Linked DNA regions of Arabidopsis thaliana. The protein of the gene in region 1 interacts with the protein of each later gene in a pairwise test. Each region holds a gene or a part of one and is shown in the gene's direction. Other genes may lie near its edges.

The links.
Region 2: the proteins of AT1G07160 (region 1) and AT2G04800 interact in a two-hybrid assay, tested with the Arabidopsis thaliana proteins (one large-scale study listed by BioGRID).

Annotation. Positions count from the first base shown.
Region 1 is NC_003070.9:2,191,432-2,204,757, reverse strand, and holds AT1G07160 (Protein phosphatase 2C family protein), read left to right. Parts: upstream 1-4,984; 5' UTR 4,985-5,079; coding exon 5,080-5,532; intron 5,533-5,838; coding exon 5,839-6,183; intron 6,184-6,258; coding exon 6,259-6,603; 3' UTR 6,604-6,904; downstream 6,905-13,326. Other genes in the region: NDA1 (alternative NAD(P)H dehydrogenase 1), read right to left, coding at 1-344; AT1G07175 (alternative NAD(P)H dehydrogenase), read right to left, coding at 1,636-1,687, 1,988-2,108, 2,286-2,376; AT1G07170 (PHF5-like protein), read right to left, coding at 3,740-4,072; MAPKKK13 (mitogen-activated protein kinase kinase kinase 13), read left to right, coding at 8,980-10,479; SIRANBP (Pleckstrin homology (PH) domain superfamily protein), read left to right, coding at 11,070-11,224, 11,345-11,496, 11,603-11,728, 12,145-12,398.
Region 2 is NC_003071.7:1,680,686-1,692,935, reverse strand, and holds AT2G04800 (uncharacterized protein), read left to right. Parts: upstream 1-4,996; 5' UTR 4,997-5,147; exon of another isoform or gene 5,148-5,319; 5' UTR 5,320-5,333; coding exon 5,334-5,570; 3' UTR 5,571-5,763; downstream 5,764-12,250. Other genes in the region: AT2G04810 (F-box only protein (DUF295)), read right to left, coding at 2,970-4,163; AT2G04795 (uncharacterized protein), read right to left, coding at 9,622-9,909.

The DNA of each region.
Region 1 (13,326 bases):
GCCAAGAGAGGAGTGAAGACCATGTGGTTCCTAGGAGAGACACAAACGACGTCGTAAATACTAGTATCGATCCCTTTTAATACCCGACAACCCGCCCAACCCGACCCGAGAACCAAAACTCTCGGCTTCTCTCCCTCTTTCGTCGGAGCCAAACCGTCGTAACGTTGTGGCTCCAACGCATTAACTACATCCTCCTTTGCTTGAACCGTGTCGGTTACTTGTTGCTTTTGCAGAGCGGTGCAGAAACGGGACGAGAGAGTGTAGGATTCGGGGTTTCTGAACACGTTTCCGACAGACGAAGAAGTGGTCTGCGAGATTCTTGCTAGGTTTTTGATCCACAACATGATTCTTTAGGTACTCTTCTTCAATCGAGAGAAGCAAATAATACTCCAAACCTAATGTGGTTAAGAGAATCGAACAAACTCTGCTACGAGCCGCCTTTGGTATACTGTATTATTCACTGTAATACGTATGAGAAAAACCTACGTGCCAGATTAGGAAATGACAGGTGGCACTCTGTTTCTCTTTCACCCAGAATAAATGGAAAATAACTCTTGATTTCTTTTTGGTAGCCACAGAAATATTAAATGTTTAGAAAACATTTTCAGTGTATGCCATTGGTTGGGCGTTTTTTAAGTGGTAAACAAAATCGAGATAAGTTAAAGGTGTTGAAAAATTTCAAAAATAAAATAACAAGAAACCTCAGCAGAACTTGATGCGCAAGAAACGACAATAGAAAAAACATGTGATTCACTAAAGACCGATGTGGGCCGCAAGAAAAGGATGTCGGAGTATTCGCTGACCTTGATCGGTTGTAATTGTATCGCGAGGGGTGACGTATCCAGAGATCGTCGCCCCAAAGCTTATTATCACTAGTTTATGGCCCAATAGCCCGTTTATATACATGATTTATTATTTTGGGTTTATGGCCCACGATAAATGGGTTACATATTGACACGAGTTTGAAATGGTCATGATATGGAAGGGGTCTTAATGTCTTATTGTCATACATTAGAAGTCACTTGAAATATCTGTAGATTTAGTATTCAAGTTTTCTAATTCAAATTTTCATTATGTGGCATTATGTAGACAGTCTAAGTAACAAAAGTATGAAAATTATGTGAATTCTATTCCAATAATATCACCGGACTCATGAAGTTTGGTTATGGCCGTTCTATGATTCTATAGTAAATTCTAGTTGTAATGAGAAGCATTTACTAAACACAACTTCCAATCATGCATCTTTCTAAAACCTCATTCACAAACTTATTCATTAGCTTGACAATCAATTATAAAGAAAACCTTAACAGTGACTAGTTCAAACTCACAATCACGAGTAGAGCATTACCATAAGTAAGATCAACTTGAAATATTTTGAACAGAGGAGATCACAACGTTTAACAGCTGAGGCATTACTTAAGATTTCTTTGCCTATTACAACAATCTTTAACCGCATACAAAGTAGCACAAAAAGATCATCAAAACTGGAAAGCAAGGATTATATATATACACCAAACGGTTCATAAAAATAAAATAAAAATTTTGCAAATTATACGTGCTTAATTATACTCTTGACTACTGAAATTTTTGTCTTTCTTTTTGCTCTATTTTTTTTATCCATCTTTAGCATTGTGGTCATGTGCTTCTGTTTCGGTTGTCACCTTTGTTATTGGGATTTTTATTTTTTCTGTTGACAAGTTGAGAAATTTTTGAAAGGTAAGAAGACAAAATAAATAAAAAGATTATGCATTGTTGACCACGGAAAATTAAATAATTATTTTTACCATTCATTAAACATTGAGATTAGAAGATACGAGTCTAGGTGTTCATTACTAATTTATTAATGTATCAGAACGTATTATTTGATGGAAGGTTTTTATTGTTCAGTATATAAAGAGATGACATACTGAGAGAAAATGAGTAAAATTAAAGATCTTAAATGTATCCAAAACCATATTTTTTTATTTTTATCTTTTTATTTATTTACCCTCTCCGACCTCCTCCACGACGCCTTCCAGGTGGATTGTGTTTGGCGTTGGCCGATGGCTCGCCGTAGTCGTTGGTGCTCACCATCAATGATCTACCCCTCACCATCATCTTTTCGTTTTCTGTCATGCATGCAGGTTTAACATATATTACGAAGCTAAAACTTAGATAATTACGAAAGTAATTAATCCAACGATATACTATTATGGATTTCAAAATTCGAATGAGGAGTTTATATACAACTCCAAAATTTGATCTTTTCTGTATGTAGATAGGATGATGAGCTCGATTTCTCTTACCTGAAAATGAAAAAGTTAGTCGAGCCGAAGAGACGATTGAAAGTGCCAAGAAAATGCATAAACACAGCCGAATTGCATAACAAAAAACCATCTTCTCTTCTCTTTCCCCTTTTTCTCTTCCTCTTTCTCTTCTCTATTCAACTATATCTCTCGTAACCCTCTCCTTTTATAAACGTGAAATGGAAATGTATTCATTAATAATAAAGATTAATTAACCTTATTTTTCAAACTACTTTAATATATATATTTCGGACAGTGCTACATAACCGGAATAGTGCAATTTATTGACATGGAAGCATTCCTACAAACATATCATTTTGAATGTCTAACCCAAATTCGAGCAAAATACATTTATAAGGAATTAGGGCACAACAAAATTTAAAACATTTTGATTAAAGATTGGTGTAGATACCTGCAAAGGCATGTGGTTTGAAATATTTTGATATTAAAAGTCTGTCTATTACAACATTTTACATCACTATATAAATCTTGTGTTTCATTGTTTCAGTGGTCTTCCCTGAATAAATCATCAGCGTAAACGTTTCTTACAAATTAACGTTTTTCTTAATGGCTAGCTACAATATCAAATTTTCGTCTAAATATTTTTTGACTCGTAAATAGCAATTATTTAGATTATGATTGAATTAATTCGGCTAGAAATACAGGATCTGTTTCGAAATAAAGTAGCTGATGTTTAACACGTGTCATTGTCTTATTGGAGATAGGAGTTGACTATTGCAGACAAATTGTGGATTCCACACTGTTAAGTTAACAGTTAACACATAAACGAAGCGAACATGCATGGGCAGTTGACTTACAGGCACCGTCCGATATAAAAAGTCAACGTCTATATTTTTGGCCCAAAAAAGGGATTTTGGGGTTTCCTTACTTTGAAAACGAATATTTCTGAATTCTGACGATCATGTGGGGTTTTTTATGTAATGGATGATAACCTTTTTGTCGACGTTAGAGAGTCAGAGTTATTGCGTATTCTTTAAAGTTTTAAGTTGACATTTATCTAGAAAATTATAGTTATCGCCCAGCTATGTATTCAATCATAGCTGAATTCACAAGTGGTAATGCTGTTAAAACTTAAAAGAATGAAGTTGATTTATACACAAGATTACGTTAATTTTGTGAGTCAGATAATTCATTGGCAAACACAGAGGGACGGTGTTTCTCCAGAAAACTTCCGAGGCCTAATCCACCAACTGAATCATATTTATGGACAACCAAACGCTAACAATCACATAATTGACAACCACTTAAGAAACAGTAACCAACCATAGCAATGGTAATAAGGCTGACTAAATCAACAAACCATAATCCTTAGTTTGAACCCATGTCTTAAATTACTTCACCGGATAAAATTTCCTTAACACAAACAAGACAAGTACAGACACTTTCCTAGCATCAATAAATAAAAGATCAATAGCTCAAGTAACAACAAACTACTATCGTTTTTTGAATCCATATTTCTTACGTTCATAGAACAGATCAGTTTTGGCACTGCCAAGATTGACTATCTTAGGACAACCATCTCTATCTTTCTCCTGTTGTGTACACTCTTTGCAGTAGTAAGCATCCGAGATTCCAACTCCTCCGCATATGACACACCGCCCTTGGAACGAACCATAGTTGCATTCATCGCAAATCCTAACCAGAGTACACGGGCGGACATAGGAATCACATATGACGCATTTTCCATCACACTTCTCGCACAGTCGCCCAATAGCAATGCCAGGTTGTTTCCGGCACATGATCAAATCAGGATGATGCTTGGCCATGACTGCTTAAAGAAGATCTTGCTCTTCCTCGATTAAGAAGATTTTGACCTGCAAATAACATTGGTTAACAAAGTAAAGAAAACACAATTTTTGTTTCTCAGAGGCATTTCAACAAACACCTATCAGGCAGCAGTTATTCTACTTACAGTTCCACTCAAGCTGAAACTTTTCTATATCCAATTCTAGCTAAATCAATGGAACGACGGTAAATTCTTGAAGTTCACTGAAAAGTGAACAAGAAACGAAGCAACAATGGAAACCATCAATTCGCTGAATCGAACACAGATAAACAAGAGAAAGCTGTTCGAGCCCAAAACGGAGCGGCGCAAAAGAATAAGCATAGACAACGCTAAACCCTAAGAATTCAGAGAAACATGAACACGGAACGAAATTTCTGAATCAGTAACATCTATCACGCATAAATCAAAGTTAAAAAACAACAAAGGAAAATATTATCGAAACTAACCTCGAAGGAGAACGAAGAAGAAGAGAAGGTGTCTGAACTAGCGATCCCTGATCTCCGAGCCGCCGATCCGAACAAGAGATGGCTCTGCAAATAAAACGACCCGGGTCGGGTTTCTAAAGATCCATGTAGGTCCGACTTAATATGGGCTATCTCATTAAAGGCTTTCCTGATGGGCTTTTTAATTTTAGGTGTTGATTTCTTTCCTATTTCGGCCTTATTTGACTTTTTATCTTCCCAAAGTCATTTAATTTCTGGAAAATCGCAGTTGACAAAGAAAAAGCAGAAAAAATGGACTGTGGCGGTGGATTCATGATTTGAAAAAGTCAAAGAGAAAGATGAGAGTGGTAACGTTTGACCTGGAAGAAGAAGAAGAAGCAACGGCCACAGAGAAACAGAGAAAGACTTGTCCAGGTCTTATATTATATATTCAAGCCTCTTTCTTCTCTCTCGTTGACACTAAACAGAGAAACACAAACGTCTAGAAGACTAACAATCAAATCAATCATCAGAAAAAGGAAACTTTTAAGTTTTCTACGAAACGATGTCGTCTTCAGTTGCCGTTTGCAACTCACCGGTGTTCTCTCCGTCTTCGTCTCTTTTCTGCAACAAACCGTTGAACACTTCTCCGGCACATGAAACCCTAACCCTGTCTCTTTCCCATCTCAATCCTCCCGTTTCTTCTACTTCTCCTTCCGCCGCGTCTCCCACATCTCCGTTCTGCCTCCGTCTCCTGAAACCGCCGGCTAAACTAGGGTTTGGATCGGACTCTGGTCCGGGAAGCATTCTGAAGAGGAAACGACCGACGACGCTTGATATACCGGTGGCTCCGGTTGGTATTGCAGCTCCTATATCGAATGCAGATACGCCGAGGGAGGAGAGTAGAGCAGTGGAGAGGGAAGGTGATGGTTACTCTGTTTATTGCAAGAGAGGTAAAAGAGAAGCTATGGAGGATCGTTTCTCTGCCATCACTAATCTTCAAGGAGATCCCAAACAGGTAATTTCAATTTTCTTCCGTAATTTCGAGTTTATTTACTGATTATTGCTTAATTAGTATGAATTGCGATTTGAAGATGGGTAATATATAACTTAAAATTTATTTATGCTGTGTTGTTGACTCAATGAATCAAATTAGAAGTTCTAAAGATTATAAGAAAATTCAGTGAATCATATATATGACAAATTGTATGAGTAGTTCTTGATTAGATAGAACCAATGACTAGTGTTCAAGAAAAAAAAAAAAGATAGATCCAGTGACTTACAAAATGGGGATTTAACATTTTTAGCTTTTTTATAACCGCAGGCAATATTCGGAGTCTATGATGGTCACGGAGGACCAACAGCGGCTGAGTTTGCGGCTAAGAACTTGTGTAGTAACATTCTTGGCGAGATAGTTGGTGGGAGGAACGAGTCAAAGATTGAAGAAGCTGTAAAACGTGGTTATCTAGCGACTGATTCTGAGTTTCTCAAGGAAAAAAACGTTAAGGGCGGCTCGTGCTGTGTCACGGCTCTGATCAGCGACGGAAATCTTGTGGTGGCCAATGCTGGTGACTGCCGTGCTGTTTTGAGCGTTGGAGGATTCGCGGAGGCCTTGACTTCTGACCACCGCCCTTCCAGAGATGATGAACGAAACAGAATTGAGAGCTCGGTAAGAATTCTTGCAAAAGAAGTTACTGTTAGGTTTTATCATGATTACATGGTTCTGATTACGATAATCCTGCAGGGCGGTTATGTGGATACATTCAATAGTGTTTGGAGAATTCAAGGATCATTAGCGGTATCTAGAGGAATAGGAGATGCTCATCTCAAACAATGGATAATATCTGAACCAGAGATAAATATTCTCCGAATCAATCCCCAACACGAGTTCTTGATCTTAGCATCAGATGGTCTATGGGACAAGGTTAGTAATCAGGAGGCAGTAGACATAGCTCGACCATTTTGCAAAGGGACCGATCAGAAACGGAAGCCATTGCTGGCTTGCAAGAAGCTCGTTGACCTCTCTGTATCACGAGGCTCCTTGGACGATATTAGTGTGATGTTGATTCAGTTGTGCCACCTCTTCTGACCATAGGAGAAATGTAGAGACAGAATAACAACGTTAGAGTCTGAAGTCATTCTTAATTTCTTACATTTTATTTTTTATTGTTTTCTAAGCATTCACTGTGAATGATTCACATATTCTTTTATTCGTTTTTAACTTCATTTAGTCATTTGAGCTGTTATGATACTTGTGTATACCATCTTAGACTGTCTTTACTCTCTATTGATAATCCTTATAGCCTTATAGGTCTTCTATGTAAAAACTCGTTAAGGCTTGTAAGTTGTATGTGAGTACTTTACCACTCAATACATTATATATTACTACTCTTTTATGAGATAATGTGGATCGACTTAAATGTGTAGGCTAGTACTGGTTTGTTTCAAGAGTTCATAAAATTCATGTTTTGAAAGTTTTTTACTTTTACGTTTATATGGACGCGTATTTCTTAACTACGTTAGTTCATAAATATCTTAGGCTCTTAGCCATTACCTTAATCCTATAAAATATTGAAAAGTCTGAAAGTTTAGTACGGTATTAAGTACATAGTGCAATGTCATTTTCTTAAGTTGTTTTCCAAGTGGATTCTCCTAGACATGCAAATTGGAAAATATGGTATGGGTCCTAAAAATCTTCAAATAATATCTTATGTTTTGGACATTTCTAGTAATTTATTCACCCACACATATATAAAAGGTGAAATTAGTTGCCCTAAGAGGATATGGAAGCAGTGGTGGACCGTTCAAATAGCACTTCACGTTCGCGGAAGGTCAAAGCTTGGCCAGAGAAACAACAAACAAAGTACATATATAATTTAGTTGCGGCGGCATTTTTTTTCTTTTGGAATTAATGGAAGAAAGGTTTCTGTATTTTGAAATAATTCAAAGATCAAAGAAAGATTATAGTGCATGCATAAAAGTTCGAATTCTAATGGTTAGCTAAATCATTAGCAAGCTTTGACCAAACTTCAATCGTAGTTTCAAAACACTAAATTGATATGTTATCAAAACTTTGATCTTTCTACCACTACCAACCCACTATAAATCCCAAGAAAGATACTATTGTAGTGATCTGGCTATTAACCATCCCAAGATTAATTCCCAACCAACGATCTCCTCAATTAAAAGTTAAAACCCTATCTTTTATTTTCTACCTTCCATCTTCAACTCGATCTCCGTGATATCTTTGGATAACGTTTTTGAGTAAATTCTTGTGCTTCCTTCATGATCCCAACCAAACAAAGAATAAAAACTAATATAATATTTTCACTATGCGTGGAGGTTGATCAAGCACGTCAATTCCCAATATGTGTGTTCAGACAACTCGTTAATATGTCAAAGAACGTGAGCCAACCGCTTCATGCCACGTAAGTTTCCAAATGGACCCCCATTTTTAAAACCCAACCCCTTTCGGCAACCTCTTCCTTCATCTCCAACCCCTTTGACAACTCCGATAATTTATTCGGATATCATCTACTTCGCGTATATATTCTGTTACTGTACACCCTCACCTTCTTTATGTTAATTGTTTGACGAATATAAATTAATTTATGTCCATTGCTTATGATTGGCTAAGACATGGTTTGGATTCATGAATCCTTGATAATGATTTGTACGTACGTCGACTACCGTATATTCCATGTCTGATCATGTCTTCAGGTCAACCAAATAGAAACATACCAGAAATAAGTCAATAAATCAAGCGTTCCAAATCTATAGGCACGTTTTTGTTCATTTGTCTTCTCCACGATCGGTGATCCGATCACTTAAGTAAAGAGACGATTTTTTAAATGTTGAGGTTATAAAAACGAAAACGATTGCGTGAAGCTAGAGGGTGTGTGTGATTTTATCTTTGCTGAGTAAAATATTAGCGGACAAGATCAAACCGCAACTTGAGTCTTGGTGGATAAGGATTAAGGAGACAGGGCAAGTGCATTGTTTCTTAAAAACATCCCAAGAACTTCTCCAAGTGTCATTAGGAGTGACATAAAACATTTTCTTCTAATTTCTAAAATGATCCTTTTTCTGATTTATTTGTTCTCTTTTCAAAACGACTAATCATTCCATAAAAGTAAAAAATTTGTAAGGATTAAGTCTAGATTTCAATAGATGTATATATAATTAAAATTGTTAAAATCCAAACCGACCATCGAACATGGTATAATTTGTTCAAAAATCTAATGATAGACTCGAAAGTTTGTGTTGTACATGACATATCCACGTGGGAAATTTTACAAAGATGAGACTTTACAAATCGAAAAGACAAGTGTACAAGAATAGTCCATGTCAGAAACAAAAAAAATTGCAACTTTATTTCACGTTCACATTTTCTGTTTTGCAGTTCCAAAACACGCATATAAATAGCTTCGTGTTGCACAAGTACGACATATGAAAGTTGGCACACATGGAGAAACAGAGCATCAGAAACACTTGTTCTTCTTCTTTAATGTTATCCTCACCATCTTCTTTTTGGGTTCGTGGTGCGTGTATCGGCAGAGGTTGTTTCGGTGCAGTTAGTACGGCGATCAGCAAAACCAACGGTGAAGTTTTCGCCGTGAAATCCGTGGATCTCGCCACGAGTCTCCCCACTCAATCAGAGTCTCTCGAGAACGAAATATCTGTCTTCCGCTCGCTAAAGCCTCACCCTTACATCGTGAAGTTTCTCGGCGACGGAGTCTCGAAAGAAGGAACGACGACGTTTAGGAATCTCTACTTAGAGTATCTCCCAAACGGTGACGTGGCTAGTCACAGAGCCGGAGGAAAAATCGAAGACGAGACTCTGCTCCAGCGTTACACGGCGTGTCTTGTCTCTGCTCTCCGCCACGTACACTCTCAAGGATTCGTTCACTGCGACGTCAAGGCGAGGAACATCCTCGTCAGCCAAAGCTCCATGGTCAAGTTAGCCGATTTTGGGTCGGCGTTCAGAATCCACACACCGAGGGCTCTGATCACGCCACGTGGAAGTCCGCTTTGGATGGCTCCGGAGGTGATCAGACGAGAGTACCAAGGTCCGGAGAGTGACGTCTGGTCTCTCGGCTGCACGATCATCGAGATGTTCACTGGGAAACCCGCTTGGGAAGACCACGGAATTGACTCGCTGAGTCGAATCAGTTTCTCTGACGAGTTACCGGTTTTCCCCTCGAAGTTGTCGGAAATCGGCCGTGATTTCCTAGAAAAGTGTCTGAAGCGAGACCCGAATCAGAGGTGGAGTTGCGATCAGCTTTTGCAGCATCCATTTCTCTCTCAGTGTCACAACTCATCTCCGACTGAGTCATCTCCGCGTTGCGTACTTGACTGGGTCAACTCGGGGTTTGACTTAGAAGAAGAAGAAGAGGAAGTAGGGAGATCAGAATTCGAAGACGCGGCGAAGGCAATAATTTGTAATTTGGCGACGACCGGAGGAGTAATTTGGGAGTCAGATGGTTGGGTGGAAGTTAGATGCCACGCTTCGGAAGAGGAAGGGACAACAATGGAATATTCGGGATCCACAAGGGTAGAATCGGAATATAACACATCATCGGATCCAAACGATGACGTGGCTGGTGACTCGGCGATAATTGACGTTTCTATGTCTCAGAATTTACCGCCTGGAAACGGGGGATCGGCGGCGGCGCTGCCATATGAATTTGTGGTGGTTTTACATTTATTAATGGAAATTATGGTTTATACTACATGTATCTTTAGGGAAATTGTTCTCACTATGTATTTGTTGTATCAGTATAATCAAAGCAATAAACTCGAAACGTTGTCTTTTAATCACAGCCTCAAGTTTTGTTTGTTTGCACATGTGATTCGGATCGGACAAAACTATCTTTTACGCGGTGAGATGAGATCGAGTGTCTTAATTACGAGCCATTGCCTTATATTGATAACTCTCGTTTACAGCCAAATAGTTGTATTTTAATGTGAAAAAATATTGCGACAAATGGTTTTGGTTCGTAAGCTGGTGGAAGACTCAAGAGGCCAAAAGAGACTTTGGTTTTATGCTTTAGAAGACTTTTGATTCATCCTAATAAGTATTCGGATTTTGGAGCATTTAAATGAATCATAGAGGGAACCGGACCGGTTGAAGATGGTTGTTTGTTTCGACTAGGCCTGAAGGACCAAGGTTATGCATGTACGATTATGTATCAAACTGAACGAAGTCGTTACATAGAGTTTAGCTCAAGCATATCATCATATTCTTTTTTCGATCTTTAAGATTTTTCTCTAATCTCTATGCTATAAATCATTAAGATTTCTCTAAAAAAGGATTAATTTCCCTTGAGATAAATAGCTTTAAAAATAACCCAGATACAATGGGTTTATATGGGCCATATATATTTTTTGTCATAAGAAATCGGCCCATAGTTAGCTTCAATTCAACGCCGTATAACTATGAGTCGTTCCGATTTCCTGTGTTGCGAAACCCCCAAATTCTCTTCTCTCTATCTCTCTCGCGTACGCCGCACCGTAGCGACCAATTGAATCCACGAGGAAATCTCAGTAAATACTATGGCGACCAACGAACCCGAGCACGAGCACAGAGACGAGGAAGAGGCCGGAGCTAACGAGGATGAGGACACCGGAGCTCAGGTCGCTCCGATCGTTAGGCTTGAGGAGGTTGCCGTCACTACCGGCGAGGAAGACGAAGATGCCGTCCTTGATCTGTAAGTGTTTTTCTTAATTGGTGTTTATAGTTTTTCTGATCTAGGTCAACTGGATCTGATCGAATTTATAAGGTTTAGCTTTTGGTGTGTTTGACTGAATTTTTGTTTGTGAATCTAAAGGAAATCGAAGCTTTATCGATTCGATAAGGATGCGAATCAGTGGAAGGAGAGAGGAGCTGGTACTGTGAAGTTCTTAAAGCATAAGAACACTGGGAAGATTCGTCTCGTTATGAGGCAATCTAAAACTTTGAAGATCTGTGCTAATCACTTCGGTATAATTTCTATTTGGACTACTTTGTGTTGTTTTTGAGTTGCATCTGGATCTGTATTTAGGTTACTGTTTCCTTATCTAGTCTTATGCTTCTGATATTTCTGCAGTTAAATCGGGCATGAGTGTTCAGGAACACGTTGGGAATGAAAAGTCATGTGTGTGGCACGCTCGTGACTTTGCTGATGGTGAACTCAAGGATGAGCTTTTCTGTATCCGATTTGCTTCTATTGAGAGTGAGTATGAAACCGAATTTTGTAATGGCTTGTGTTTTGCCTTATTTAGTCTCAGTTGGTTTGATAGATTCACGGATTAGATTACTGATGGATCTTGACCTTAGCATTGCTATATGGCTACTTTGTTAATTGGAGGTTCTCAAAGCTTCCATCATAGGCATGCGTTATTGGGTTCAGGAAATATCAAAATAAGTACTGTGGCGGTTAGGTTGTGGTATTGCATTGTAAAGAGATAATATTGTTCTTGAGGTGGTCAAGTATGTATTTAGGCTGCAACTAATTTGATATGCCAACATGGTCGACTGTTTCTTTTTTTATTTTGGGTAAATATTATCAGTAGTTTCTGAGCTGTTGATCATATTAACCGGGAAAAGTAGAGATGCTTGTGGGTAATCAAATCTTATTTTCCTTGTCAGATTGCAAAACATTTATGCAAAAGTTCAAGGAAGTTGCTGAGTCTGAAGAAGAGAAAGAAGAGAGCAAAGATGCCGCTGACACTGCTGGCCTTCTTGAGAAATTGACTGTGGAAGAGACAAAAACGGAGGAGAAAACCGAAGCGAAAGCTGTGGAGACGGCAAAGACTGAAGTGAAAGCAGAAGAAAAGAAAGAGAGCGAGGCAGAGAAATCTGGTGAAGCAAAGAAAACAGAAGAAAGTGGTCCCTCAACATAAGAAGCGTCATCATTTAAGTTGCCAAATCCTGGCGAGGTAATTAAGCCTCGAAATGTTTTGATGCATCATGAGTCTACCATTGTCTTGGCACTATCTATCTATACATGTTTTGTCGAGTCATATCAAGTGGTTGGGGGATCGCTTGGGGTCGGGTTTTACTGAATGCTGAGTCGTTATGGGTCTAATAGTTTTTGAGTCTAAAGTGTCGGGTGATATGAGAGATTTGGGTGAAATATTTTTTCATGTTGGTTATCTGAAAGAGTACATTGGTTTCATTGTTTTAAGTTTTCTCATGGATCCTTTTTGGATGGTCTTATTTTGAGGATACAAATGTGTTTGTCCATGGACAAGAATCAGAAGTCTCCATTTTTTTTTTTTCAAAATTTAATGCATGTGATTTTTTAATCTTAAGGTAATTGCCAATTGTTTGACAAAAAAAAGGTAATTGCCAATCTACTTTGCTCTCTTGTGTTAGTCGATGCTAGTCTTGACCCTGATAAAGATCCAAAATGTATATTAACAGTATTCATAAAATTCTTCAGTTATAACGAACTGTTCACGGAAAAAAAATGACATTGTACTATACTGTGCTAAAATTACCAAAGCATGATTTATATAAATCATATCCAGTAAGACCATATGTGAATGAATAACAATGGATTATGCTTAGGTTAAGATTTTATTAAATTTATAACACTTTTAAAATAAATTTGGAATAATACAAACATATAAACCATTCCTATAACACCATATTTAAACATAACAATGAATTGCTTGGATTTCAAACTTTATTAAATTTGGATTTTAAATTTTAATTTGATTGAATTATACCCCCTTAATTGGATAAATTCAAATATGTCAACTTTTTTTTTTTGTAAGATTTTTTTATGGAAAAAAAAATTGATTATTCACTAAAAAGATGACAGGT
Region 2 (12,250 bases), on another chromosome or scaffold:
TTCCTTTGTTTGGTCTTAGAATCACCATAATGTATGATCCACAATGGACATCGAGGCCTTTTCGAGCATGTTTTCCAAACGGAATACCAATCTGAGCAAACGGTTTTTGCTCAGTGAGAATCAACAGGGCTCTTCAAGATTTTATTAATATCTTGCGTAAAAGATCGGGGTAAAGCTTGGACCAATCACTATTTCTAGATATGTCCATGGTTTCGGCTACCTCACCGATCGCACTAGGGTTTTCAATTATATAAGCATGAAATAAGACCAAAGGGTTTTGGTTTTCATTTATTATACCAAGTAATACCTTCGTCTAAGTTACGTTTGGAACATAACACTATGCATTTTTTAGCAAATTGTTAAAAGATAGCGGCCAATAAAAGAAAGTAAAAATATAAACCATAACAAAGTATTGAATTAATGATTTAAAAAGTAATTTAAAATCTAACTTTCTTGAGAACATTATAAGCATTAGATTCTTTAATGACTTTAAAGGACTTTAGAGGATGTCTTTAATTTAATACACACAAAACAAAATCTCTTGGTTTTAGTCTTTTAGATGAGATTTAGAAGGACTTTACTACAAATCATAACAATAATAATAAAATGATTATTTTAAAAATCCAAATAAGATCATAAGAGATCACCAACGACGGAAATAAACTAATGCATGACAAGTTAGTTACACTATTTAATGTCATGCCAAAACGACAAGGTAAAGTTCTAAGACCATCTCCAATGGTGAGAGCCTTCTCATGGGCTCTCTACCATTCTTTAATATTAACTAGATGAACATTCATGCTACGCATGGGTTTTTGTTTTTAAAGTTGTCAAAAAAATTATGATTATAGTTTTTTTTGTTGATTTTGATCTTTATTTTATGTTTGTGTTATTATGTAATTAATAAATTCATATCTATTTTATATAATTATAAGTTTTTATGATTAAATTCATCTATAACTCGAAATATCACTTTTACTACTATATGGATATTTATATATCTATTATCTTAATTTTTCACTATCATGAACACATAAAACAATAATATATGATATATTGATCCAATGTATGTCGTTATGTTACTTATGTCGTTTGAAACTTGTCTAACTTAATTGTAACAAACAATTCTTTATTTCATATATTCCTTCGTCATCTAGTACACCAACCACATCCTAATATGATAGTAATTTAAGTCAACACTTTAGATCTCATCCCTTAAATATAGTCATATAGAGTCTCATTTATTTTATTTTTTTTTGGTATTTTTAACGTCTCAAAGGACCATTACGTGAAAAAATTGTATGTCAATGTTACCAAGTTATTAGAACGCACAAAAATGAAAAGAAAGAAGATCATATGATAAATCATATTTACAAAACGTAATAATTAGAAAATATCCAAGTAAGATTACTAAATTATTATGAGATTAGGTAGCAAGTATTTAAACAACAACAAAAGTAAATCTACAACACAGGTAAATTATTAGCCATTATGGATTAATGACTATTAATAAACAAAATTCAATAAAATAAGTTGAGTATAATAAAAATAGTGTTTGATGCATATTTATGATTTTTTATCTATTAATATTTTAGAAAAATTATTTAAGAGTGAGATTAATGGAGGGTTTAACACAACAAAAACTTTTGATTTTTCCTCAAATAGTTTTGTTAATCTTTTTATTTCATTAATGTAGAATGACACATGTCATTTTCTTGTGTGATGATGTGTTACTCATATGGAGAGACTTCGTCAACTTTCATATATATGATTGGAAAAATTTATAAAAAGAGAGCTTGTATGTATTTATTTTTGAAACAAAAATCATTATCCAACGGTAGTATACAAATTGTTTTCCACAATCTCTAAATCTCAAAAAAAAAAATCACTACCTTGCTAAAGAAACAATGTTAACTAGTTTTTTTTCTCTTAAGAAGTATAAAAGTCGAAAAGAACATATATCCAAGAACACAAAGAACAAGTCGAAAAGTCAACACACCTTCCTCTTAAGAAGTGCAGAAGCACAAATCCAAGAGACTCTTGATCAGTTCATCGACTTTGCTCAGTGAAAGAGAAACCAAAATATATGAGCAAAGACGGTTTACTTCACATAAGGAGATAAAAAAATTGGCAGTATTCACTAGTTCAGGAACATATAAGATTCTTAATGCAGTACCAATAAATATCACAATCAATTCAGGAACATATAAAACTTCTCTTGCAACAAAAAAATAACAACCACCTCATATTCAACACTAGACCAGACACACTCTGTTTTTCAAATCTCAACGCATCAATCAACTCTAAATAATTTGTATAAACCGTTGGCGAAGTTTTGTTGAAAGATGAAAGATAACATATAATACTTGTGAAATCATGAAACTTTTGTGTCAAAGCTGAAAATAAATAAAAGAGCACGAAGATGGTTCTTCTATATATATCTACATTAACTCTTACTACCACACAGAGGAGAGGCGAAAGTAAGATAGCAAAGAGGAGCTTAAGAAGAAAAACAAGCAATGAAGCTTTAGATCATTGCAACCTTACACAAATTTCTAATCATCGTTGTAATCCTTCTCTTATTCTATATCCATCATATGTTGTTCTTATTTCTGTTAATGATCACCCATCTTATCAGTTTTTTTGTTCTCTATTGTTCAATGAAATCAGAACCTACAACTTTTATGCATCCCTATGACAAATCCGGTGCCGTTTTAACGTCTAGGTGATAATCAATAAATGGTCCATCACCTCTCTAAAGATTGGAAGGGTCAAGTAAATATATCCTTAAACTTTCTATTAAATAATTTTCGAATGAGATTACCATCAAAACCATATAACTAATAGAATTCAAAATATCAATAAACTGAAAAACATTAGAATATAGAAGAATAAATAGAGTTCAAAAATCATTGAATAACACTAGAAATTTTAATAAAATTATATCAGCTTCCTACATTCAATAAAGCCTAATAAGCAACTCCCCCAACAAACCACTGATTTTGATTAATGAAACAATAGATTTTCTTAGGCCATTCGATCTTACTTGTGGCAATATCGAAGAAACCGCAATTTGAAACACGATGCTCATGTTCTTGATGATCTGGCCAAACATCTTCGCCGACGAAATAGATTGAATTACTCTTTATCCCATCATCAAGATCTTCAAGAGCAAGAGCTGTAACCCCACGACCAAAAATCAACATCTCATCTCCAATACAATAAACTCTTTCCCACTTGCGACTCTCAAGATTCATCTTAAAGATGTAAAACAAAAGTTTCTCTTCATTTTGCACTTTTTTTTTCAAGCTCAAGACTATCAGTACCTCTCCTGATCTCCGAATCACTATCTTCCTCTTCCAAACGTATTCCGACGGATCCTCAACGAAGTTAAACGGATACAGGTTTTGTTCTCCTGTTAAAAAATCTCCATAGAAATTGAAAATCTTGATGTGATGATCCATTGTCAACAAATAAAGCTTATTGTTCTCACAAGCCATATCAAACAAAACCAAACTTTTCCCATTATGATTCAGATTACACCAAGAATAATCTCCTTTTATGTATGAGAACAAGTATTGTCGCATAAAAGTCCAAGCAACTGCATAATCTCCTGTTGTCTCGTCTACCCACAGAACAGCTAATGATTTTTTCCATTCAACGGCTTCATAGTCATACGGCACTATATCATCCTTACGAGAAGGCCCGACCAAGTATCCAAAATTGTAATTGTTGCTTTTAGATTTGAAGCTTACTTGCCCGCCACGTATTTTTGACTCCATCGATGGAAGATCGATCCTTTCCTTCGTCAACAAGTTATAAATATAGAATTTGAGACAACGATCAACCATCAGGAGCCAGTTTCCGGAGCTAGCCATACAATAGCTGTTGTAGGAGAATCCCATGAGTTTTCTGTTGCCGTCTCCTACGGTGGGAGAATCGCCTTGGTGAATTATCCTCAGTGGACATAGAGGCCTCTTCACGCATGTTTTCCAAACGGAATACCAATTCGAGCAAACGATTTTTGCGCGGTGAGAATCAACAGGGCTCCTTAAGGTTTCGTATATCTTCCGCAAAACATCGGGACAAAGCTTGGACCAATCACTATTTCTAGACACTTTTTGTCTCTTATTCTTTCTCATCAAGCCGTTACACGTCTCCATGTCTTCAGACTACTTTACCAATCATGCGAGGGGTTTTCTGTTCTTTATATATACTAGGGTTTTGTATCAAATACACTAGGGTTTTTGCGTTTTAGTTTTCCTCTTTTTTTTTTTTGTAAATGATATGTTTTTATTTTACTATATATTATGATCGTAGCATCCAATATACAAAAGCTCTTGATGGAAATTACCGAGGCATTTATTTTACTATATATAACAAATTAAAATATCAAATATATATACAAAAGCTCTTGGTCGTTTTTTTTTCTTCTTTTTTGGTACAACATTCAGAAGCTACAAACTCAAATACGGAGTTGGCGTATACATGGACCAAGGATCCAATAGAAACATGTATAGTATTAATTGAGAAATACAATGTGAATAGCAATAATTATTTTTAAATAAATTACTGAAATTGACAGTGAAAAAAAAAAGAAACTACTGAAACAGCAAATTGAATACCCTCATCAAAGGGTGAAATTGTTAGAAACATAATTGAAGAATCGTGGAAGAGATCACATGGTTATGATTTGATCTTTAATACAACTTGGTGTTAATGATTTTGATTTTCAATATAGAAAAGATTATTGTCGCTTATTGAACCACAATTAACAAATTACGTTACTAATTGTATTTTACATATACTCTAAAATCATCAAATAGAAGATGTAGTTAGTTAAAATTGTCAAATAGAAGATGTAGTTAGTTACTAAATTCTAATCTGGACAAAAATAAAGATGTGGTTCATACGTGTGAGAAGAGACACTACCATTCTTTTATTACATTTCGTTGTAGTGAGGCTTTTTCTGTTCAGTCTTAAAATACAAATTAAACTGTCCAGTGTCCACTACACTAATCACTTCATGCTACGGCCCGCTAATTAATGTTTAAATATGTATTGATCGGATCAGAAAGAATATTTGTATGATCAAAAAAAAATCTGTTCTCTTCCTCACAGCTTTTCTCTCAGATCTGTTTGTTCGGGTTTATTTTTGCTCTCTTGCTTAGTTCTGTTTTTCACTCAACTACAATTCTTTCTTAAGTTTCTATGGTTAGATGAACTTAGACTGTTATTGTTTTTGGAAAAATCCGTAGATCTATCCGTCTCAATACTTTGATAAACTAAAATCTGTTTCTTTTTCTTATAAAATTGCAGATTTTGTATCACACATGGGATCTAAACCTAGCTCGCTGGCTGATGAAGTAGCCATTATTGTTGAGCAAGTAGACAAGGTTATGGGGATGGTTTTTTGGTGCCCCCTCTACTGGGAATCTATAGAACTCCTTGCAAAAGATGAGGTTTCACGAGCCATATTTTATGGACTAACAGAAGGATGTAAGCTTGATTATCTTAAATACAAGACAAAAGCTTCCATGGTCCCAGAAATGACACGGTTTTATAGTTAAAAGCTTAAAACATCTATGTTTTTATGTTTTTGGATTTGTTTTTGTGAAAGATGTTGTGCTTGAGTTTGATATTGTCGAATATGTTTCATGTTCATTGTTTATATACGAGTGCTTGTCTACTTGAATATGATGTGTTGTATGGATTATAAACTTGGATTTGATTTGGTTTGAATCTGATCTCTATGACGTAGCGGAAGCTTCTAGGATAGAATACATAAGTAATATCGAGTATCAATGGATCTCAAGCAGGAAAATCGTAGCTCGGAATTCTAATGTTATTGGAGTTCAATGGATTCCAATAAACAAAGACTTCAAAGACTTCGTTTGAGAATACTCTTCTCACTGCTTATCGAAAGCTCTTTCATTTTATTAATCAAATCAACAACTAAATACAATAGGAGGCCAAAAAAGGCTATATATAATAAAAGCATAAAATCCTAAAATCCATAGAATATTGTAAAATAATAATAATACTGAATTAAAAGATAAAAATAATAGATATTTGGAAATACATCAGGTCTCGTCTGCCAAGAATTTTTTTTTCCTTCAATATATCTTGTATCTTCGTCCTCGAATCTTGTATCTTCGCTGCATCGCTCTACCTCTAACATTTTCATACTTCACATACCGAAATGACAAATCATGGTATACAATAATCTCACTAACCATATCAAAATCTATTTTGTGATCCTATTGCCTTTTTCACTTTGCTCTAGAGGTCTCTTTGGACAACACTATAAATGGTGCTTTAATGCAGGTGTTCCTATTATTAATTTTCTCCAAACCTTTTTGGCAAGAAGGGCTTGTTTGAAGCAATGGAGATCACGAAACCTGATTCCACACTATTCCTTAGGCAACAAGCTTAAGGATTCTAATTCAAAAATACTTTTAGTTCATCAATATAATTTTGTGAAGAACATACACTTAAAAAAATAAGTGGATCAAAACTTAGATATTCGCTTTATGTCTTGAACAAAATAAATATTTCATACTTTGACCAGATTCAGAACAAGAAAGATATGTTCGGTTTTTATCAAAAATATGTTGGAAAAAATGATCAAAAACTAAAAATCTATCACAAAAAATTTCTTACTGATTTTCGAGAATCTAAAATTGAGGGACAAAATCCTTTAAAAACCTATCGGATAGAGTCATTTCTGACTGATTTGTTGTCAAAAATTGGTTTTTTCTTTCGGTAAAAACTTCTTGAATGAAAGACAACGTTGTAATTTTCTTTAACATGATTAAATTCGCCATTAGCCACCCCGAAATGTGAGGTTACATATCTTATAACTGAAAATTGCCTAGATTGACTCAAAACTAGGCAATAATAACTAAAATGACTCTCATTAATGATGGATAAATATACTAACACAAATTTTGTGTAAAAAGACCAATTGACCCTAGATGTCGATATTTAATGTTTTAGTGATAAATATGGTAATTTCTCTAATAAGTCTGTCATTACAAGGAAAAAAAATTGTCACCACTGTAAATATTAATATAACAAAAAAATATGCAAAAAAAACCATAATTGATTTTTGAAGTTATAGAATTTTTTTATATATTTGGGTTGACTATATATATTTACGGTATAGTTTTTAGTTGTAAGGTTTAGTGTTTAGGATGTAAAAATTAGTTTTGAATATTAAATTAAGTTTTAGATTTGTAGTATTTTTGAAAAATAAAATTCATTATAGTATTGTTTTTGGAAAAACTCATTTTAGTGGTATTTAAAAGAATTTCTAAAAACAATTGACAAAAAAAAATTAAATCTGTCATAATATGATTTTGAAAATAAAAAAACTGTTACAATAGTTAGTATTATTCTATTAAAAAAATCATGGAAACAGAAAACTATAAATCGGCCACCATAAGGATTTCAAATTACAAATCTGTCGTAACATAAAATATTTTAAAGGTCATTCAGGAATTTATTTTATTCTTTATTAAACCTGCCATCAAATGACAGATTTATGGTAATATAAATTTATCTGTCACAACATAAAACAACTCTGTCATAACATAAAACATTATATTTTTAGAAAACAAATCTCCCATCAAACGACAGATATTGTGTAATATTACAAGAATCTGTTATAACATAAAACAAGTCTGTCATAACATTAAAAAAATTGGTTATCGTTAGACGTCACTCTAGTAATTAGTTTTTTGACAACAAATCTGTTACAATGTGCCAGATTGTTTTAACAAAATTATAAATCTGCCATCACTTATCGTTAAAAAACATCCACAAAAAAATAACTCTGTCAAATTATATGAAATTTATGGTTGAATAAATTAAAAATATGTCAATCAAATTAAATCTGCTATAATTTATAAATCTGTTATCACTATCTTCTAAGAAGTCTGTCAACCAAAAAGGTCTGCCATAAAAAAATCTGTCGCAGTTAAAAAAGTCTGTAGAATAAGAATAAATCTACCATAACTAAACGATAGACTTTTATAAAGTTGCTGGAATTTTTTTTAAAGGATAATTTTATATTTATTTTATTTTTAACACATAAAAAAAATGTATTTAAAAAAAAAAAAAACTAATTTAACCCCAATATTTTATAAGATATTCTAATAATTAATCTCATTATTTGGGTTAATCTAGTTTTTTTCCTATCTTAGAATCCAGTGGTATTTCATGTCTAATCATAATCTTCACGAATATAATGGTTTTAACTTTAATAAACAATCATGAAACGTTAGCAAATGAAAACATCTTAGTTAATTAATAGAAATTTCAACAACAAAGTCCAAAGCATCCAGCACAATCTAGATTCTAGACTGTTTGTAAATTCACCAATCATTTTAAGAGAAAATTAACAAACGTCAATCGCGATGATGGGATATTTCATTGAGCAAACCGCACTGAGAACATCCAAATCCTAATTTTATTAGTCAGCACTACAACAAATTTATTTTGTAACTAATTAAATTGGCAATGATTATTAAAAAAGGGTCGGTTCATGCTGTGTCGCACTAAACGTGGACATGAGTATTTTCCACATTGTTGTCGTCTTCTTGGTACTACTCTCCGCGTTAGCTAAACTCATTTTTGACGACCATTCACCATTTGGACCAAGTTCTTTGTATGTTAAATAGTAGTTAATAAATCAGGCTATATCAATTCTTTAATCATCTACAGTATATTTATGCACGCTTTTGAATTAACATATAGGTTGTGACACAACACTGGTTTGGTATTATAACAAAATACTAGACTTATAAATCTCGGTCAGTCATATCACATCAAGTTTATTATATAGGCCCTATTTTTTTCTCACGCGCTGTGTGATCAGATTCAGCGATCAAAAAAGTAGTTGTTTAACACACAATTACGTTGAAAGTTTGTAAAGAGTTATATGGAGAGGAGTCGCTCAATTCTAAAACAGCGACCTATAAGAAATATACACGCGTCGCCAAAAATAACAGCGACTCAAAATTTTCACTAGTGACGTCGCCGACGTCCATACTGAACGATTATTTTTGTATCTCCGTTATAATTTTTGCCTTCGTCGGAGTCATTGTTGCTGTCGTAGCGATTAATAAACGAACAGGCCATAGTATTAACCTCAGGACTAGTGAAAATTTTGTGTCATAGTTCTGTTAAATAATGTAAAATACTAAGCCATAAGTAAAAGTAGTTTATCCCAACTCTTTTTCTTAATAATGGATATATCCTAATGTTTGTTGTGTATGATATATATTTATATGGTGGATGAGATTTCCCTAATATTATGTGGTCATAAATCATCTAAATCATAAATCATCTAACTCATAAATCATTATCAAATTCAAGAATCTCCAAGTTTTGTATATATGACAACCACTAGCATATATATCAGTTTAAAGATCAAAAAGCAGATGAGTAAGAGAAAAAGTTAAATATTCCTAGCTAAGATATGTTCTTTAATAAACACAAACCATGAAAAAAGAAGTGAAAAGCTTTTGTATATCTCACTAAATGCCCTAATATAAACGCCATCAACACAAAAGAAATATGTACTACTAGCTAAATTAAGTCGAGCTAGATATATAATTACATTAAGAGAGCGTATCTCATGCCATCACAAACCATGAGATGGTTAACCTCCGAGACCCTTCCATAATCTCCCGACACCCACACACCATCTGCCCTGCTAACTCGTGGAACCGAAAAACATGACATGATCGATAGCGGAAACTTCATTATTCCACCGTTACTCCCGTTTCCTCCCCCGTGATCTCCATTAACCGTCGTTGAAGGCAACGCGCTTTCGTCCGCCACCCGCGGGCTTTTTCGAAGATTTTGAAGGTTTCTTCTTAATATAGACAACATCTTGAGCATCTTTAGTGTTTTCTCCTTTGAAACTTATTTTGGGTTTTGGTGTTTGGAGAGAGCAAATGAGTTTTTTTTTTGAGGAGGAAGAAAGAGAGGTTACTTAGAGGTATTTATTGGGTGAAAACTAAAAAGTGCAAGTGGCCAATTGGGAAAAAAATTCCTTTTTGTTTATTTGTTATCTAGTCGTAGTAGTGCTTGAGTTTGTCATGGATATATTTTTGGTTCTAAGTTTCAACAAAAAAAAAGGGAAATAGTGGAGATAGAAACGTGAGGCTTCGCTTTAGGAACTGGCCCCATGATTAACAGAGATGGTGGGGTCTTATTTTACTTGGGTATTATTTATCTGAAAACAAAAAAAAATTGACAAGAAACAAAACTGAGTGGGATATGTAGTTTAGGTTTTGAAAGGTGATTTTACACATAGAATGATAGAACTAAAGAGTGCTCGTATAGCGGTCCCATGTTCGAGTGGTGATGATTTATCTGATGGTTTGAATTCTACCATATCTATAATCCATCCGAGAAATAGAAATCCGGAATTTCTTTTATGAATTATAAGTTAGGATATAGTGAAAACTCTATAAATTAATAATGTTGGGACCTTGAAATTTTATTAATTTGTAATGATATTAATTTATCATATACCATAAATTAATAAATTAGAAATATTTACACAAAATATAATATTATAATCCTTTTATTTTTATTTTTATAAAATTTATGCTTTGTCGTTTGTATATTCAATTATGTTAAATTTTATTTTTTTATTTTATTAATTTCTTTTCCTGCAAGATAGTATGTCCTTATATCTACGATGAAGTTGTGATTGATAATCTTGGGGTCTAGATGGTGATTGAGCTGAATGAGATAAATTAGCTGCAGAGAAATAAAATGTATGTTAAATAGTAACCATTTAGCTGAATAGTTAAATATAAAAAAATATTATTTAAAATAAAATCTAACAATGTCGATGAGAACTATTTCGACTTGCGGACCACATTTGCTCAGCAATTTGATCACGGACGATCTTCATATAATTCCCATCTTCATATAAGTAGAGAGAAATATTATCTTTCACTCATGATTGACTAACAACTATTGTTTTTGAAAGAAGAAAATGTGTTTAGTTCATAATATTTTGTGTAAAGATAAATCTTGATGGGATTAGTATATTTATAGGAACAGATTTTAGCTGTTGGTTTTAATAAAATAAAAATATGAATTATTCAAAATTGTCCAAAGTTTGAGCTGATTTATAAGAAGATATTATAGTTGTTGGTTCGTGTATATCTTATATTCGACAACAAAAGATTACAAATTATTCAAAGATTGAACTGAATTAGTTTAGTATTTGAATTTTCTAGATTCTCTAAACAAATTAATTAATTTAAATGTAATAGAGATAGAAATATATTATAAATTTTTATCACGTTCAATTTGTTCTTCTCCTAATTTGAGGTTGGACAATTTTCAGCTAAAAAGTGTAAATTTTCAGCTTTATGGTGGGCCCCAATAAAATTGGGTTGAAATTTTGTTAAAAGCAAATGGTGAATTTCTTGAGGAATAAAGTTGAACCCACAATTCGACTCTTTCATCTTAACAAATCTAGGTATCCATTTACACCCTTGATTATCGAAATAGAATGAATGTTCAAAGATAATGTGGAACCTTTGGAAATAGTGACATGTAAAAAAGTAATTATTAAGTATAAAACTCTTCAAAACTTTTGGAGGCAGATCGAGAAAACGACACCAGGAGTTTTGATGCAATATAGAAAATTACAGATAATCTTCAACGAGATCCGTACGAAAAGACAAATAACACTAGATTCATATTATACTAGATTATTTTAAAATGTATGCTTAAGAATTATGATAATTAATTACTGATATTATTAGGATCATATTTTTACACAAGGATTTCAAAAAATTATTATCTTATTATTTTATTAATTTTAATTTTATAACAAATTTAGTAATTTATCGTGTTTATTAACTTATTATATTTATTAATTTATAAAGTTTCTACTGTATATAAATTTACTTTAATATATATATTATATATCACCAAATATTGTAGTTTCTTAAAAATCCTTAATACTGTAAATATATGTTAATTTCGATTATATATGTATAGTGTGGTGCTATATGAGTTAGTCTTTAAATATTGCTCTTTTTCAATCGATTGGTCGGTGCAAATTGAAAAAGATATTCATTTTGGTTTTGCTGATTTATAATTTTGATAATTCACAGGGAAACAAATCCAAACCAAATCATACCGAATCACATATGGTTTTTAAATAGTTTATTATTATTATTTTTATAATAAATCCAATAAACACCAAAGA